3 linked regions of the Tribolium castaneum genome follow. The protein of the gene in region 3 purifies or fractionates together with the protein of the main gene of each other region. This does not show direct contact. Links are inferred from orthologs where the notes say so. Each region holds a gene or a part of one and is shown on either strand. Other genes may lie near its edges.

The links. Proteins that work in one complex are often made in the same cells at the same time.
Region 1: the proteins of Polr3K (region 3) and Pdrg1 purify together in Homo sapiens (affinity purification with mass spectrometry; 3 studies listed by BioGRID and IntAct, with this or other methods). This does not show direct contact. The link is inferred for Tribolium castaneum from reciprocal best matches to the Homo sapiens genes POLR3K and PDRG1.
Region 2: the proteins of Polr3K (region 3) and Polr3H purify together in Homo sapiens (affinity purification with mass spectrometry; 3 studies listed by BioGRID and IntAct, with this or other methods). This does not show direct contact. The link is inferred for Tribolium castaneum from reciprocal best matches to the Homo sapiens genes POLR3K and POLR3H.

Annotation. Positions count from the first base shown.
Region 1 is NC_087396.1:22,906,200-22,910,196, forward strand, and holds Pdrg1 (p53 and DNA damage-regulated protein 1), read left to right. Parts: upstream 1-2,774; coding exon 2,775-3,063; intron 3,064-3,111; coding exon 3,112-3,278; 3' UTR 3,279-3,342; downstream 3,343-3,997. Other genes in the region: Pgi (glucose-6-phosphate isomerase), read right to left, coding at 278-517, 569-842, 895-1,203, 1,343-1,602; Prosbeta5 (proteasome subunit beta type-5), read right to left, coding at 1,769-2,080, 2,128-2,520, 2,567-2,701; Datp (bis(5'-nucleosyl)-tetraphosphatase [asymmetrical]), read left to right, coding at 3,430-3,535, 3,580-3,896. UniProt on the Homo sapiens protein: May play a role in chaperone-mediated protein folding.
Region 2 is NC_087394.1:25,642,958-25,648,629, forward strand, and holds the start of Polr3H (DNA-directed RNA polymerase III subunit RPC8), read left to right. Parts: upstream 1-2,717; 5' UTR 2,718-2,811; coding exon 2,812-2,922; intron 2,923-2,968; coding exon 2,969-3,152; intron 3,153-3,199; coding exon 3,200-3,453; intron 3,454-3,508; coding exon 3,509-3,559; 3' UTR 3,560-3,560; intron 3,561-3,601; exon of another isoform or gene 3,602-3,883; coding exon of another isoform or gene 3,884-4,032; intron 4,033-4,084; coding exon of another isoform or gene 4,085-4,233; intron 4,234-5,672. Other genes in the region: putative ATP-dependent RNA helicase TDRD12, read right to left, coding at 1-28, 74-228, 676-1,234, 1,635-2,019, 2,070-2,413; F-box/LRR-repeat protein 16, read right to left, coding at 3,884-4,032, 4,085-4,233.
Region 3 is NC_087403.1:7,843,188-7,848,589, forward strand, and holds Polr3K (DNA-directed RNA polymerase III subunit RPC10), read left to right. Parts: upstream 1-2,838; 5' UTR 2,839-2,923; coding exon 2,924-3,064; intron 3,065-3,115; coding exon 3,116-3,301; 3' UTR 3,302-3,304; downstream 3,305-5,402. Other genes in the region: Tcs1 (threonylcarbamoyl-AMP synthase), read left to right, coding at 3,305-4,006; Plekhm1 (pleckstrin homology domain-containing family M member 1), read left to right, coding at 3,999-4,316. UniProt on the Homo sapiens protein: Core component of RNA polymerase III (Pol III) which synthesizes small non-coding RNAs using the four ribonucleoside triphosphates as substrates. Can mediate Pol I proofreading of the nascent RNA transcript.

The sequences.
Region 1 (3,997 bases), on a different chromosome or scaffold from region 3:
ATACTGTTTGCTGATTAAAAATAAAGTTTGTAAGTTTGTTATAAAACTAGTTTTACGTTCTTTTTTCGACAATTTCAAAATTCCTTTTTTGCTCAGAATCTCTATTTTTCTCTTCTACAGTTGTTGTTTTAAGCTATAACTGGTCAAACCAAGCGAACTAAACCGTTTTTTAACCGAGCGAATTCTATAGAGTCCAGTTGACCAAATCAAAATAAATACATATTTTCAAGTATTGCTGGTTCGTAATTAATCAATATTGCCGGGAATCGATACTTACGTTCTGTTCCAAGGGCGCCGACCTGAAGTGGTTATCCATATAATGCGCCCCTTCCAACAACTGGAGAAAATTCTCGAACCCAATCGCCAGCGAAATACTAAGCCCGATAGCGGACCACAGGGAATACCTACCTCCAACCCAGTCCCAAAACTCAAACATATTGGCCGTATCGATGCCAAACTCCTTCACTTTCGGCCCATTTGTGCTCAAAGCAACGAAATGTTTAGCAACAGCAGCAGGCTAAAAACCCAGTTAAAACAACAAAAAATTGCATTTTTGCAAGCAAATTACATCTTTAGCATGGGTTAAGAACCACTGCTTGGCCGAAGTGGCATTGGTTATTGTCTCCTGTGTTGTGAATGTTTTCGAAGCAATGATAAAAAGTACAGACTCAGCGTCGATTTTTTTCAAAACTTCGGCTAAATGCGTACCGTCGATGTTCGACACGAAATGCATTCGCAAGCCGCGACCGTACGCCTTCAGGGCTTCGGTCACCATAAGGGGGCCCAGGTCGGAGCCCCCGATGCCAATATTCACCACGTCGGTGATGGGCTTGCCTGTGTAACTGAAAGCGAAAAAATTACCTGTTATTATGCAACAATAATTGAATTAATTACCCCTTCCACTGCCCGCTCAGGACCGAATTAGTGAACTGCTTCATGTGCTCCAGGACCGCATTCACCTCCGGCATCACATTTTTCCCATCGACTAGAATCGCCTGATTGGAGCGATTACGCAAAGCCGTGTGCAGTACGGCCCTGTCCTCTGTAAAGTTGATTTTCTGCCCGGAAAACATTGCATCGCGTGCATTTTCGACCTTGCGGGCGCGGGCCAAGGAAAACAACAGTTTGAGAACATCGGAATTGATGCGGTTTTTCGAATAATCGACCAGGATGTCGCCATCGTTGGGCGTTTTCAGCTTCAAGCTGAAAAAAAATCAAACAATAATATTATCTCAGTGGCCTCCGGTTAGTGAAAACAAACTCCAGTGCAAGGACGCGTAGAGGTCACTCGGCTTTTCCAATTTTCCGGGCGATTTTTCAATGAAACGCGCTTGACACTCACCTGAAGTTGTTGAAGCGGTTCGGGTCCTGGGCGAAAAGGTCCTTAATCACCAGCTTTGAGGCGTTCTTGTTGTAATAATCTTGGAGTTGTTGCCAAGTTGGCTCCGAAGTCAAGGGTCCGACTTCCATGCTGTCAGATGTCAAAGTCACGCCTTTCGATTGTTTGGCGATCGTTTTGTGTTTTTCATCGTCGCCGATTGGGCACGCGCAGCGCACGGTGTGATAAATACAAATTACATACTTCAGACGAGAAACTCTCATCTAATTATTGATTTCTCACAACTAATTTTAATTAATCAATCCACTTACCGCAAATTATTAATTAAACTTGAATTTGGATGCGTCATAGTGACAATGACAGGAATGACAGGGAAAAACAAACGCCAACTATGTTAAAAAAATTTATTCAATTTAATTCATTACAAAGCTAAACCTTATTTATTTCCTGCAACTTCTCGTCCTGGTATTTGTAGTGCAAGTCCATACAGTCGTTGTTATCAATATGCACCCAGCCGGTCGGCTTCATATGGTACACCCTGACGATACCACCAGAATAGGCGTCCCGATGGGTGGCATGGTAAATCGACCGGCGCCCCAAATCATACGCCTCCTCATCCGTCAAATCCCACTTGTACCCCGAATCCAGGACGCCAAACGCATAAATGGAGCCCGAGCCAACACTGAAGACTTTCCCAGGGGTTCTGGTCCCCTCCGAATCCACGTAATACAGCTGGGGCCCCTGAACAACAACACTGATCAAGCGGTCTAACTTGTTCAAATAAATACCCTTTTGTCCCATCCTGCCAGCATCATGCCCATTGACAGCCCCATCCCCTTGTAATTATACACCATGTTGGCCATCAGTTTCGAGGCGGCTGCGACCGAAATCCGCTCCCGGTTGCGTAATTCGTACATGCGGCACTGCTTAGCCAGGACGCGGTCCCAATACACACAGTCAGCGGCGCCCCCGGCCAAAGTCCCCAGGAGAAAATCATTGATTTCGACGATTTTCTTCATGGTTTGGGAGCCGATGAATTGGCCCCCCGTGGCTCGGGAGTCCACGGCGAGCACTACGCCCCCCTTGTACATGAACCCCAGCGTGGTGGTGCCGTGGTCAAACTTGATTTTGATGTCCCGACCTGACTCGTCCTTCGAGAAGTAGGCCAGGTTCTCGGCCGGCTGTCACAAATTTGTTATCTGGGGGTATTTTCAAGGGGCTACTTACGTTAGAATAGGGGGGTACGCTGAGCAAAGTGTTGTGGGTGAAGTTGTTGCTCATTTTGGCGATTTCGTTGTCGAAGGGGGCTTCGCGTCTGAAGGTGTCGAAGTCCGACATTCCGCAAATCTCGGCTAAAGCCATTTTGGGGCAGTTTTGTTTGGTTCAAATGACGGTGCGAAAACACAACTAGCACCTAACCTCTAATGTCAAATGGATGATGGTGGTGGTTATGGTGTGTAAAGTTACGTCTTGTTGTGAGAAAATGTCCCAATTCCAAGACGTGCAAAACCAGAAATCGTTTCAATACTTATACGAGGTGGAAACTCTAGCGCAAGACATTTTAACTGAAAAAGAAACAAAGTTGGATTTGTCCAATTCCAGGAATAAGTTTAGGGAAGCCCTGAGGGCCCTGGAGGGCACAGAGGACCGAAGGGCTTGGATGCAGCTCGGTTCAGTTTTTATTGAACGACCGACTAGTGAATGTAAGGAGATTTTAAAAACAGGTCCGCAAAAAATATTTTTTTTACAATATTCTGACCAAAGTTTTTTAGAAATTGCAAACGCTGATAAGGATATTTTAGAGTTGGATAAAAATATTAAGAGCAAAATCCATAAATTAAGGGATTTGGAACATGAACCAAGGTTAGAGGGCTTCACCTTGAAACCCATTTCCTCGGCAGAGGCTAAAGCGTTACATAAAGCGTTCGGTGCAGTGTAAATTAATTAAGATTTTGTCAGTCCCAAGTCCACAATTAAATAATTGTAAATACAAACGTTTCTCAAATTTATTGTTTGACACTTCTGACAGTTTAACCGGTTGAATCTAACCTCACCTTTTAATTTTTAATTCGATTTACGTAAAATTTCAAATGAAAGTTGCGGCCGGCTTTGTGATTTATAAAAAGGCCTGCGATAATATTTTGTATCTTTTATTGCAAACTTCGTATGGCGAACACCACTGGACCCCTCCTAAAGGTAACCTTCAGTTTTTCCTTTCAAAAATAATAATGTTTTGTCAGGGCATGTGGACCCTGGTGAGACTGAGATGGTGACTGCCCTTCGGGAAACGATGGAAGAGTCCGGTTTGAAGCAGGAAGATTTGAAAATCTTCGACGATGTGAAGAAAATTTTAAATTACAACGTAAAGGGGAAACCCAAGAAAGTTATTTACTGGCTTGCCGAACTCACAAACCCCAAGGCTGAGGTGAAATTATCAGAGGAGCACCAAGACTTCAAGTGGTTGAAACTCGACGACGCTTGCACTTATGCAAAATACGCCGACCTCCAAGAGTCGCTCCAGTTTTTCGATAATTATATACGTTCCAACAAAAACTAATTATTGTTATATATTATTAAATAAAAAAATAATAAAATTAATTATTCAATGTGCAACCTTAGCCACTTCCATGTATTTGCGCCGATGAGTCATCTGGCAGA
Region 2 (5,672 bases), on a different chromosome or scaffold from region 3:
TCAAAAAACATTTGGGTTTGACTTCTTCCTACAAGAATTGTTAATTTTAAATTGATTCAGATGCGAATTATACTTCATTTGTTTCCCAAGGACTCTTGTAATGTGAGGACAAAGCGCTGAAACGTTTGATAAATCGGGTCCAAGTTGCGGAAAATGAGTAACTGACGAGCCACATGGCGTCGGTGATGCACAATAATGAGTCGAAAATAAAATCCGTGCACAGTAACACTGAAATTTAAAAAAATCGCCTCATTTTATTAAAAACAAATCATATTTTACTATATTATCAGAAGCTATAAAGTGTGTTTTCACCCGTAGTTGAAGGACAAAGATAAAGGTGACATTTTCAAGGCTAACAAATCTTTCATTTCTCAGAATTTTGTTAGTTCGATAACTTTTTTAAAGTTTCCATTATTCAATTGAGAAGAAACTGCTCTTTTTAAAAATATTAAATTTGACCCTTGTCAAAAAAAATTAAGTAAGTTTTGTATCTCCAAAAAAATGGAGATAGAAATTTGAGACGATAGAATTTAAATACTTTAAATACCTGTATAAATAGCTATTAAGTGAAAACTGTGGTAACGAATTACCAATGAAGGAACTTAATACAAACAAGTAATTTTAATTTGGTAATTAGGGCAATAATATCAATAGATGGAGCCACATTAAACCTACCTTTGTATTGGCCACCTCTCATAAAAGCCCATTCTTCCTCACAAACCTCGATTTGTTCCTTAGTCGAATCATCATTTAAAGCCATGACTTCGATGCCGTTTCGAACCAACCATTTATTCAAATCGCTTATTTCATTATTATGGCACACAACAATAGTTTTAAAAAGATGACTCTTGTCTCTTAATAATCCTTCAATGTAGTGTTTCTTGTTTTGTGACACTAAAAACTTTACTTCGAATTGGATGTTCCCATATAGAGCTGCTTCCAAATAATTCCCTATGCAAACAAGTGGTGTTACATAAATCGATTTGAGTAATTTTTGCAAATCCGATGTCCATTTTGTTGAAGCTACTATGAATTGGACTTTGGTGCTACACATCCTGTGTTCAAGCATTTCATCAGTGACTTCCAAAATTTTGTAAATTTCTTCGTGATTGTTTTTTAGTAAACAACTCGCGTCTTCTAACACCAAGTGACACATTCGTTTCAAATTAAAAGTCCGAGATTTAAGGCAATGTGTAAGAGTGCTGGGGATTGTAATCACGATATCAACGCTGTTCTGAAAATAACAAATGACTAAAAAATAGTCAAGCGCGATCATTTGAATTTATAAAAAGAGTAGGTGTTTTTTTCTTTGTGATTGTTAAGCTGGTGCAAACTGAAGGAAAAATCTATTTTAACTGAGTATTACCGTTCGAAACAGTATTATTACTTGACTCTTCGGCTTGATTAATTATGATAATCGGCGTTTTCATATAAGTTAAAAAACTAATAAGCCCACTCTGGTTATAAATTCTAATGATCTCATGATATGTTTCCCTTCACACGATTGGTCGCATTCGTGTTATTGCCATGGTTATCTGCTGTAACTATGGTTACAAGAGAATTTGTCAGTGGAAACCAACAGATGGCCCCACACAATGCGACCAGCTACGTGAAGGGCAAGCTGTGTGACTTACAATGTGGTGGACTGGATATGTCATGAGGGCAATTTTTGGTTTAGTGGCACTATTTTCAAACAGTTTTTTCATCAAATCGTATACATCTTCACAATGTTTGCTGTTTGGACAAATAATAACCACTAACGGGCCCTTGTACTTTGATAATTGTCGATATTTTTCCTCTTCAGCTGTACTGAAGGTACAAAGGGCCGGGAGATACGACATGGTTTTCCCCGACTTAGGCCCCCCTACCATAACAACATTCAATTGTCTGAAAATTGCGGGCCAGACGAATGATTGGATTGGTAAACTATACTTGTAGTTAAGGCGACCCAAAGCAGCTTGAATTTCGTCGCTAAAGTAGGTGTCTGTTAGCAACTTTACAGGCTGGGGGATCACCTCCCTGAAATTATTTTTCAATAATTTTAATTGGTCTAAAGTGGCGCAAAGTACCCGTGAACTAGGGTCTTCAAGTAGCTTTGTTTCTCAATTTTTGTCAATGTGCCAGGATTGAAAGTGAAGATCTTAGGGGTTTTCCCTGGATGTCGTGCCGATCGTAACAAGGGTTGAATCTTCCGCTCTTTGCAAACACGTTTGTGGTGCCCCTCGAACTCCAAATCCGGCGTTGTCCAGTCGGCGCTTTGGGTCCAATGGACGCAGTTCTGGCACTCACACGCCGGTTTCATGAACATCTCTGGATTGTCGATTTCGGGCTCAAAAGTCTGCTTTGGGGCTCCATCACTATCGGAGTGTTTTTGCTCGTCGCTGTCGAAAGGGTCTTTCTCCCTGGTGGCCATTGCGACTGAAAGGCCTTAAGTAGGGCAAAAACGTGTGCAAATTCACAAAAACACACCACAACAAAACACAACAAAAATTATTTAATTCTAGGGACTTCCAAATTTGAATGATGCAACCTGTTGCAAATATGAATAGTCTCCAAAAAGTAATTTTCGGAATTTCGGCTTTAAAACAATTACTGAAACAGTTGCATAACTAATCCCACGGTAAATTGTTACCAAATTCGGGTTTCTTATTGTAATAACTTTGCGAAATTAATTTTAAAAACTCTGGAAAATACGTTAGTTTATTTGGGTTTATAGATTGGTACCACTATTCCATGTGTTTTCGGCGCGTCCTGTGCAACACAACCTCAAAATTTCACGAAGCTGTTAACAAGTTTAACAATTGTTAAACGATGTTTATAGTGGCTGAAATGAAAAATGTGACCCGAATACCCCCCGAACTGTTCAACTTGAAACTAAACGACGCCATAGCCGGAGAATTAAACAAAAAACTAGCAAACAAGGTGAGATTAGAAGCACATTTCAGCCCCTTTTAACCCCCAGTTTAAGGTAGTCCTCAACGTTGGTTTGTGTATAGCTTTATACGACATTACCAGTCTCCAAGAATCGTTTATATTTCCCGGTGATGGGGCTTCACACACTAGAGTCAGCTTCAGGTACATCGTTTTTCGCCCCTTTATTGAGGAGATTCTCGTGGGGAAAATCAGGAGTTGCAGTCAGGAAGGGGTTCACGGTACGACAATTATATTGTGAAATGTTAAATATGATTGCGAATTTTAGTGACTCTTGGTTTCTTTGACGATATTTTGATCCCTCCCAGTGCCCTTCAGCACCCTTCAAAGTTTAACGAAACTGAACAAGCATGGGTGTGGGAGTATGACACAGGAGACGGGTGCAAACATGACCTTTTCATGGATGCTGGTGAAACGATCAAATTTCGCGTAACTGCGGAGTTTTTTAATGAGACTTGCCCCACTGGTAGTTTACAAGAAACACAAGACAAGTCCGAAAATAAAGTGCCGTATAGTTTAACTGTAAGAAAAAAACTTGGGTTTGTATGACTTGATTAAAATTATTTGTTTGTCACAGGGGAGCATAAATGAGCCAGGTTTGGGATTGTTGTCTTGGTGGGATAATTAAGGTAATTAATTTTATGGAAGGGATATAAAGTATGAACGTGTGTAAAATATCATTCTGATTTACTTGCGAAACATATTCTCATTATTTACACCACATTAACTAAATTAAAACTAGGGAAAAGTCGAATCAAACACGAGACAAGGTGACGAACGATACCGAATTAAACCGTAAAATCACAGCTTTCTTGATCAGTAACACATTGTGTGGCGCCATCTGTTGTTATTTTTCTGTCAATTTGTGATTGGTCAAGAAAGCCGTGTGTAAAATAATCGAGTGTTATTGCACAATCTAGTATCAAATATAACAAGTGGACAAGTGGTTCACTTATTCTATAACGAGGCAACGCGGAAGATGTTCTCTCAAATAATCGAAAAGTTCTTTTGATGCCCCTGGACAATTTGTTAATTCTAATTCTCTCATATGTCGTAACTGAATCAGACTTGATAAACCACTAGAAGTCAATAATGGACACCCTGAAATTTCGAATTCAGTTATTTATGTCATTATTTGTGGTATGTGGCAGACCTGCTAACGATAGTATTTGCAAATTTCTCATTCCGCATAAATGCTGAAGTCCAAAGTCTCGAATTTGTGAACACCAGCGCAGATAGAGTGCAGATAGAGACAACATTGTTGAAATGTAACCAATGCCAATGTCGGTGATGTGAACACATCTGTGAAATAAAGCGAATAAAGCGGATTGCGTTTTGATCAGTGGCCACCAGTTATTGCAACTTTAAAAAATACATTAAACACAATGCAAGTGTTTCTGCTAAAAGTATTTTTTACTATATCTCAAAAACTAATAATCGCATAGGAATCACGGTGTGTTGCTTTATATTTAATGTTTTTTTCCACACAAGTGAATTTTTTCAGAATTTTTTACCCTCCCTTATAGAGTTATTTATAAAAATATTAAGATCAGTATTAATAGTAATTAATACTAGTAATTAATATCAGTAATATCAGTAAAAATAAACATAAACTAATGGAAATTTTATTATTTATAGTGTTATCCTGAAACAAGGTTTTGGACAAAAAATTGATAATAAGCTTAATCTACCACCGCAGCATGTATTTAAATATTTTTTAATTAAAAATTAAAAAATAAAAAATTGGGAAAAATTACTTTTAGGATTTTTTGCACAAAATAACATCTTAAAATGCTTAAGAAATAATTAATTAATACAGATTGGAGTTTTATGAGGTTAAAACTTACTTTAATTAGGAAGCAAAAAATATTGGAAAAACAGAAATTACGTGTTAAAATCTGGTATTTTCCGATATATTTTTTTAATTCCTACATCAGGAATAATAAAAACATATTTTTTATTGTAAAACATTCTATTACAAAAACAAACAAAACGAAATATCTTTTGTAAAAAATTTTCTTGTTGAAAAAAATTGTTATTTATTGTATAAGGGTCTTAGATGTATTTTATCTCCGTAAAGATTTAAACTCGAGAAGTAAATTCGAGCGTTTAATTAAGGGGATAAAAAAAGAAGTTAATTAATCGTTTAACTTAAATATTGTTTTAAATTTGCTGGTGTAAAATTGGTTCGTTTTCTGTAAGAATTTCTTTCAACCAAAAAATGAACTCACTGTATCTATTTTTTATAAAAAAAAATTACACTACTTTAAACATTACAACATTAAAAAGTAATTTAGTCTGCAACTAGCATTTTTCCCTAGAAAGTAGAAGATACTGAAAATGAGAAACACTAATAATTGAAACACACAGTCTAAAATAAAAAATCAATATACTCGTATTAAGAGACTGAAATGCTAAAATGCTTACAAGCTGAATTAAAAAAATAAAAAAATAGTGAAATTGAATTCTATACACGGTGATTCAAAAGTACCGTACAATTTCTTGGGTGCTGAATTAAAAGTTCCTATGACAAAAAATTGTTTGAACCCTCTTTCACGAGATTTAGGTCTTCAAACTTAAATTTTTAAGTTAATTTTTGTTTCATATCATACTTTTTGACTTTCGTTAGCGAGCTCTTGCAACATTAAACAAATACAAATTAAAAAAAACAACAATTAATGTATAATGATGTGCAAAACAATTAAAAACTTGTAATTTCAACAATAAATTAAATTCAATAA
Region 3 (5,402 bases):
CACCATGTCTACGTGATTTTAACGAAAAAGTGAAATTTCGATTCGAATCCTTGACCTTCAGAATTATTTATGGTCATATATGGCGCGCTCGGAAGATTTTATTCATTCCTAATTAGCTTACGTAACTCTCCAAATATTTAGGGATAAATTATGGATTCACACTAAATGCATTGCATATCCAAACAGGTATGTACCCACTTTAGACTTTTTCACTTCTGGATCACTTTCATACTTCCTTTTCCGCCCATCCACAATTTCGCTCTTTGCAAATTTCATCACACCTTTTTATTGCCAAGAGTACGCAACGACAAATTCTTACAAGCTTTTGCAATTCTTTGAGGTCATTTCTAATATCAACTCATATGTTACTACCAGCCAGTGATACAGAATTCCACATTTGTCTCTCACTGTTATATCACACATTTATTCAAATCGATGTGTTTCAAACTGTTGCTATTTCCGTTCCCTATTTCGACATTGTACCTCATTTTGAAACAAGCTTAATGTCAAGAGGTTTTTATTTACGAGAATTCTACTTTGCAGTATTTGCCAAACCGTTCGCCAAATGTTCCCAAAAGTGGAGAAACAATTAAGGAAATGCCTCTAACTTTGGTGATCGTTTCTAGCTTCAAATGTGGAACTTTTTCTTACGAGATTCGTCAAAAAAGTTTTGCTCAAGAAGCCCTTCTTAGTATAAACTTTCAGCTAACGTTTTAATTCAATAAATTGTTTGCGAAGTTTATTCATTGTTCTCTTAGTAATAAATTAAATACAACATCTACCTATAATTTGTAATATTTTACTTTTTATAGTACAATCAAAAATATCGATTCAAACGTTCCCAATGTTTTTTTAAAAGCTTGAGCTTCATCAATTTTTTTAATTGTATAACTTTGACTGTTATTGTTTTAATTGTTGACAATTTTAACAAAGTTATTTATTCATAAACATTGAAGTCGTTGATGTTAGTTTGTACACCTGATGTTTTTAGGCAATTGTAATTTATTGGGTAGGTATTATACCTGTGTAACTGTAATATAAAGAAAATCCACCGTTTCTAATTATTTTTTCTGGGGAGATTGAAAAGTCTTGGTACTCATAAGCAGACAAAACAATTTTTTGTCTTTCTAATCTAATTTTAACGGCTAATAAAAAATATTATAACTTTTATTTTTTTTTTAATTTGTATTTAGACAAAGGAAAGGGCCATCGGGACCCGGGCCCGTGTTCCACGAATCCGAGGCTCAGTACGGCACTGTAGGAAATGTGCACTGTGTGAGTTAGAATATGATCATTGATCAATGATCAAACATCAAAAAGGAACGACTGTATTGAGTATTTCAACTGTAATAAGAAATCTTCTACATATCGCTTCTGTAGTGTCAAAAATTAGTTTTTGTATTTTTTTTAAATGAGGCTTATTTCTCCCTGAATTATCAATACAAGGATGGATTAATTCGTGGTCTCTTATAGAGAGCAATTTTTTTGAAGAGTTACCGGAATCGACCCATAAGGATGGGATAAAGACTTCGGAACACCGATTGACCAAGTGCACATAACTAGAAGGAGGTTATAGTGAAAAGTAAAGCAAAAAATGTTTGGCCAAATTATTATTTTCTATGTGAGGCCACGACTTAATCATCCCACCCTCGTAGAATAGAATAATAGAAGGGCAAAGAAAATTTAAATGTACTCATGTTGGTAAATTATTATTAATGAAGTTTATAAAGGATCAAAAATACATAACAAACGAAGAAAAACAAAATATAAATAATATAAAAAATATAAATATAATATAAAAATAAATTGCCGTAGTAGGGTGCTATTTGAAAAAAAAATCGAAAACTAAAAGGAATTAAAAAAATATTTTTAAAGTAGTTGATAATGTAATAATTAGTTTTTCTTAAAGTACATAGTTTAGGCACATAACAATTAGCTTCATACTTTTGCCAAACGATGTATGTTATTTTGTAGGTATTTCCCCTAACATAATTCATAAAGCTTAATTTCCTTTCTCGTTTGTTATTAAATTTTGCTAAAAATAAGTCAAAATCCAAGTGGAGTAATAATTATTACTAGATATATTTTTCTTAAAAAAAAAATGCATACTTGATGTTGCATGTCCATCTGATGACCCTCTGTCGCTTCAACTTTAAAAAATAAAAAACATCCATGTTTATGGTGTTTTTGAAATAGCTAAAATGATGTCTATTTCAAAATTTACTTAAGTAATAACAAAGAAAGAAAAAAAAATATTATAAACTTCTCTATTTAAATTTTTATAAAACGTATGACCTGAAATTTGTTTAGGAAGGGCTTCGCCCTGTGGGGCCCTACGCTGGCTACGGCCCTTGTAAATTATCCTAATGATTTTGAACCAATTACCATAGTGTTTATTTTTTTTGTCAGGAAAATTGAAAAAATTATATTGAATTCTCATTTAGCGAGAGAGATAAAAATCAAAACCTTTAAAACGAAATTAACAAAATGAACCAAGTGCTCAATACCACCGAGTTTAGTATAGGCAACCCATAAAACACAACGTTTTTAATTATTTTTCTTTGTAATTCTTATAATTTTTTTATTACTTAGTTAAGTAATGTGGTATAGGAAAATGTTTGAACCATATTATTTTAAATTAAATTAATCATTGTAAAATTGTCCTTGTTTATTTTAATTGAAAATATGTCTTATTTAATTCGACTATATAAAAAGCGGAGCAAATTAGTGAAGTAATTAGTTGACAAAATAACTAAGGCCGTAAGTGGCTGAATATTTGTTATAATTTATAATTTAAATAAAATAGAATACGAATTTTGTGTTGGTGCCCTCGCCCCAGCGCTGCCAACCCACCGTGCGCTGTCATTGTCAATTTTTGACACATGTGAATTCAAGTTGAATTTCATCATAATAATCACGGGTCATGGTTGTGTTTTGTCCTTTCTGTGGAAATTTGCTATTCGCTCAACAGACCTGCGGCCGATTAGGTTTTGCGTGTCGCATCTGCCCCGTGTCATTCCCCATTCGTGGAAAAATCTCGAATCGCACGTACTTCCAAGTGAAGGTAAAACCCAAATAACCCACTATCATTGTTCCAACTCCGTCACGCTTTCAGTCCGTTGATGACGTGCTCGGCGGCGAAGACGCCTGGAAAAACTGCGACGTAACAGCGGAAACGTGTCCAGAATGCAGCCACCCCCACGCCTACTTCCTCCAGGTCCAGACCCGCTCTGCTGACGAGCCCATGACCAACTTCTACCGCTGCTGCAACCCCGAATGCGCCCACAACTGGCGAGAGTAGGCGATGCGTTTTTTCGCCCCCCTTTTCAAAAAACTCTCCCCGAAGCGGGCTTCTATGGCATTGCACGTCCCCATCAGGGACCCACATGCTGAGGCTTTAGCCGTTGATTTGTTAAAGTCGGGCCGCGTGATCGCCCTCCCTACGGACACCGTCTACGGACTTGCCTGTGACGCGACGAACATAACCTCAATTAACAAACTCTATAGCATTAAGGGGCGCAACGAAGCCAAACCTGTGGCGATCTGTCTCGGGGACGTCCCCCAGGTGAAGGCTTGGGCCAAAATCGGGCACTTGCCCCAAGGTTTGCTCGAAAGTCTGCTCCCAGGCCCAGTGACTGTCATTCTGACTAGTGCAAGCACACTTGATAAGTCACTCAGTTTTAACGCTAAAGTGGGGATTCGAATCCCCGATTATCACTTTATTCGGGCTTTGGCCCGCGGTTTGGGACGCCCTTTGGCCCTCACAAGTGCCAATTTAAGCAACGAGCCAAGTTCGTTAACAATCAACGAATTTCAAGACTTGTGGGCTCAGGTTGGTGCAGTTTTTGACGGTGGTAATTTAGGACTTGACGATTCGAGACGACGTGCGTCCACCGTTATTGACTTATCAGAATGCGGTTTGTTCACAATCGTGCGACACGGTATTGCGGTTGATAAAACTGTTGCGATTTTGCACAAGTTCGGGTTAATTAACAAACATGAATAAGTTGTTTAAAAGTGTGCACACGTCGAGTAATAAAGACAATTTAATTAAGAAGTCGATCACGGATCACTTGTCGAATAGTGTGAAAGCGATACAGTATTGCGGAGTTGAAGAAAATGGACTCAATAAAGCTGAGGATGTTACCGAAGCTTCGAACACGCTGTGTATGACGATTGAAGCTATTTTTCTGCACGGTTTGAAGGACTCCTTGAGTAAAAGGTTCAAAAGGGCCATTGCAGATGTTGACGAACGGCCAGAGCCCAGCTTCTGGGCCCCCTTACTTGTCATATCACATCGACAAATCATAGACCAGGTAACAAAGGATTTAGCATTTTTTCCAATTCTCAAAAACTAACGCACATAATTCAGAATTTTGGTACAGTTCCTCATAATTAATAGTTATTTACCGAGTTTGAGTGTAAATCTGACGCTCTGTTGCTGAGTGGATTTTTAAACGTCGAGTGGTCACCGATTTACACAAAAACGAGATGAATACAACATTTTATTTTTATTTTATTTTAAATTTGTCAAAAATAATCTGACGTTTCGCATTGAGAAATGCCAAACAGTTGTCAAAACTTTCTTACACAAGAGAAAAACCGTAAATTTTGACAGTGTTGAAAAATAAAACTTATTAAATTAATATTAAGTGGCTGCAAAAATTATTATTTATTGTCATCAATTCATTATTTTATTTTCCAACAGACTTCTTAGTCTATAGACTAAGAAAATATTGACATTATTTCAAATAGCACAGACCGATTACACACCCCAGGGTCATCCAGTATATCCTTGAAGTTTGAATGTTCTTCTTTAAAGTGGTGAAAGTTTTACTCTCCTGAGTTTTTTAAAAAGCATGTTTTTGTCAAAAAAATCAAATTATTTCAAAAACAAAGCAAAATCGACCAATAACAATCAGTGTTAAAACCTACATTCAAAAATGCAAAAAATATAGGTTGTTCCATTTAAAAAAATATAAGTTTGTGTTGTAGTTAATTTCGGAGTCACCCTGTATATTTGAAAATAGTTTTAAGAGAGTCAGGGGGTTATTATGTACCGCTTTCGTAAAAAAAGATTTAAAGGTCAATAATGGACTTTTTCAGATTGCATAGACAACCTGTATTTACATACAGTATTAGGCAAAAGTATGGAACCAAGCGTTTTGTGTCAAAACTATGTACCTTAAAAAAAACTAATTAGTACATCATCCAACACTTCTAAAATGTGATCATTTTTGAAAATTTTTTTTTTCAAAATTCTTTTTAGTTTTGGAATTATTCAAAAAAAAATTAAATATATGGTACCCTACTACGGAGATTTTTTTTGGTAAAAATGTCTTTTAATTTAATTATATTGTTTTTCTAATAATATATTAAAATTGTGTTCTGAGTTCATTACG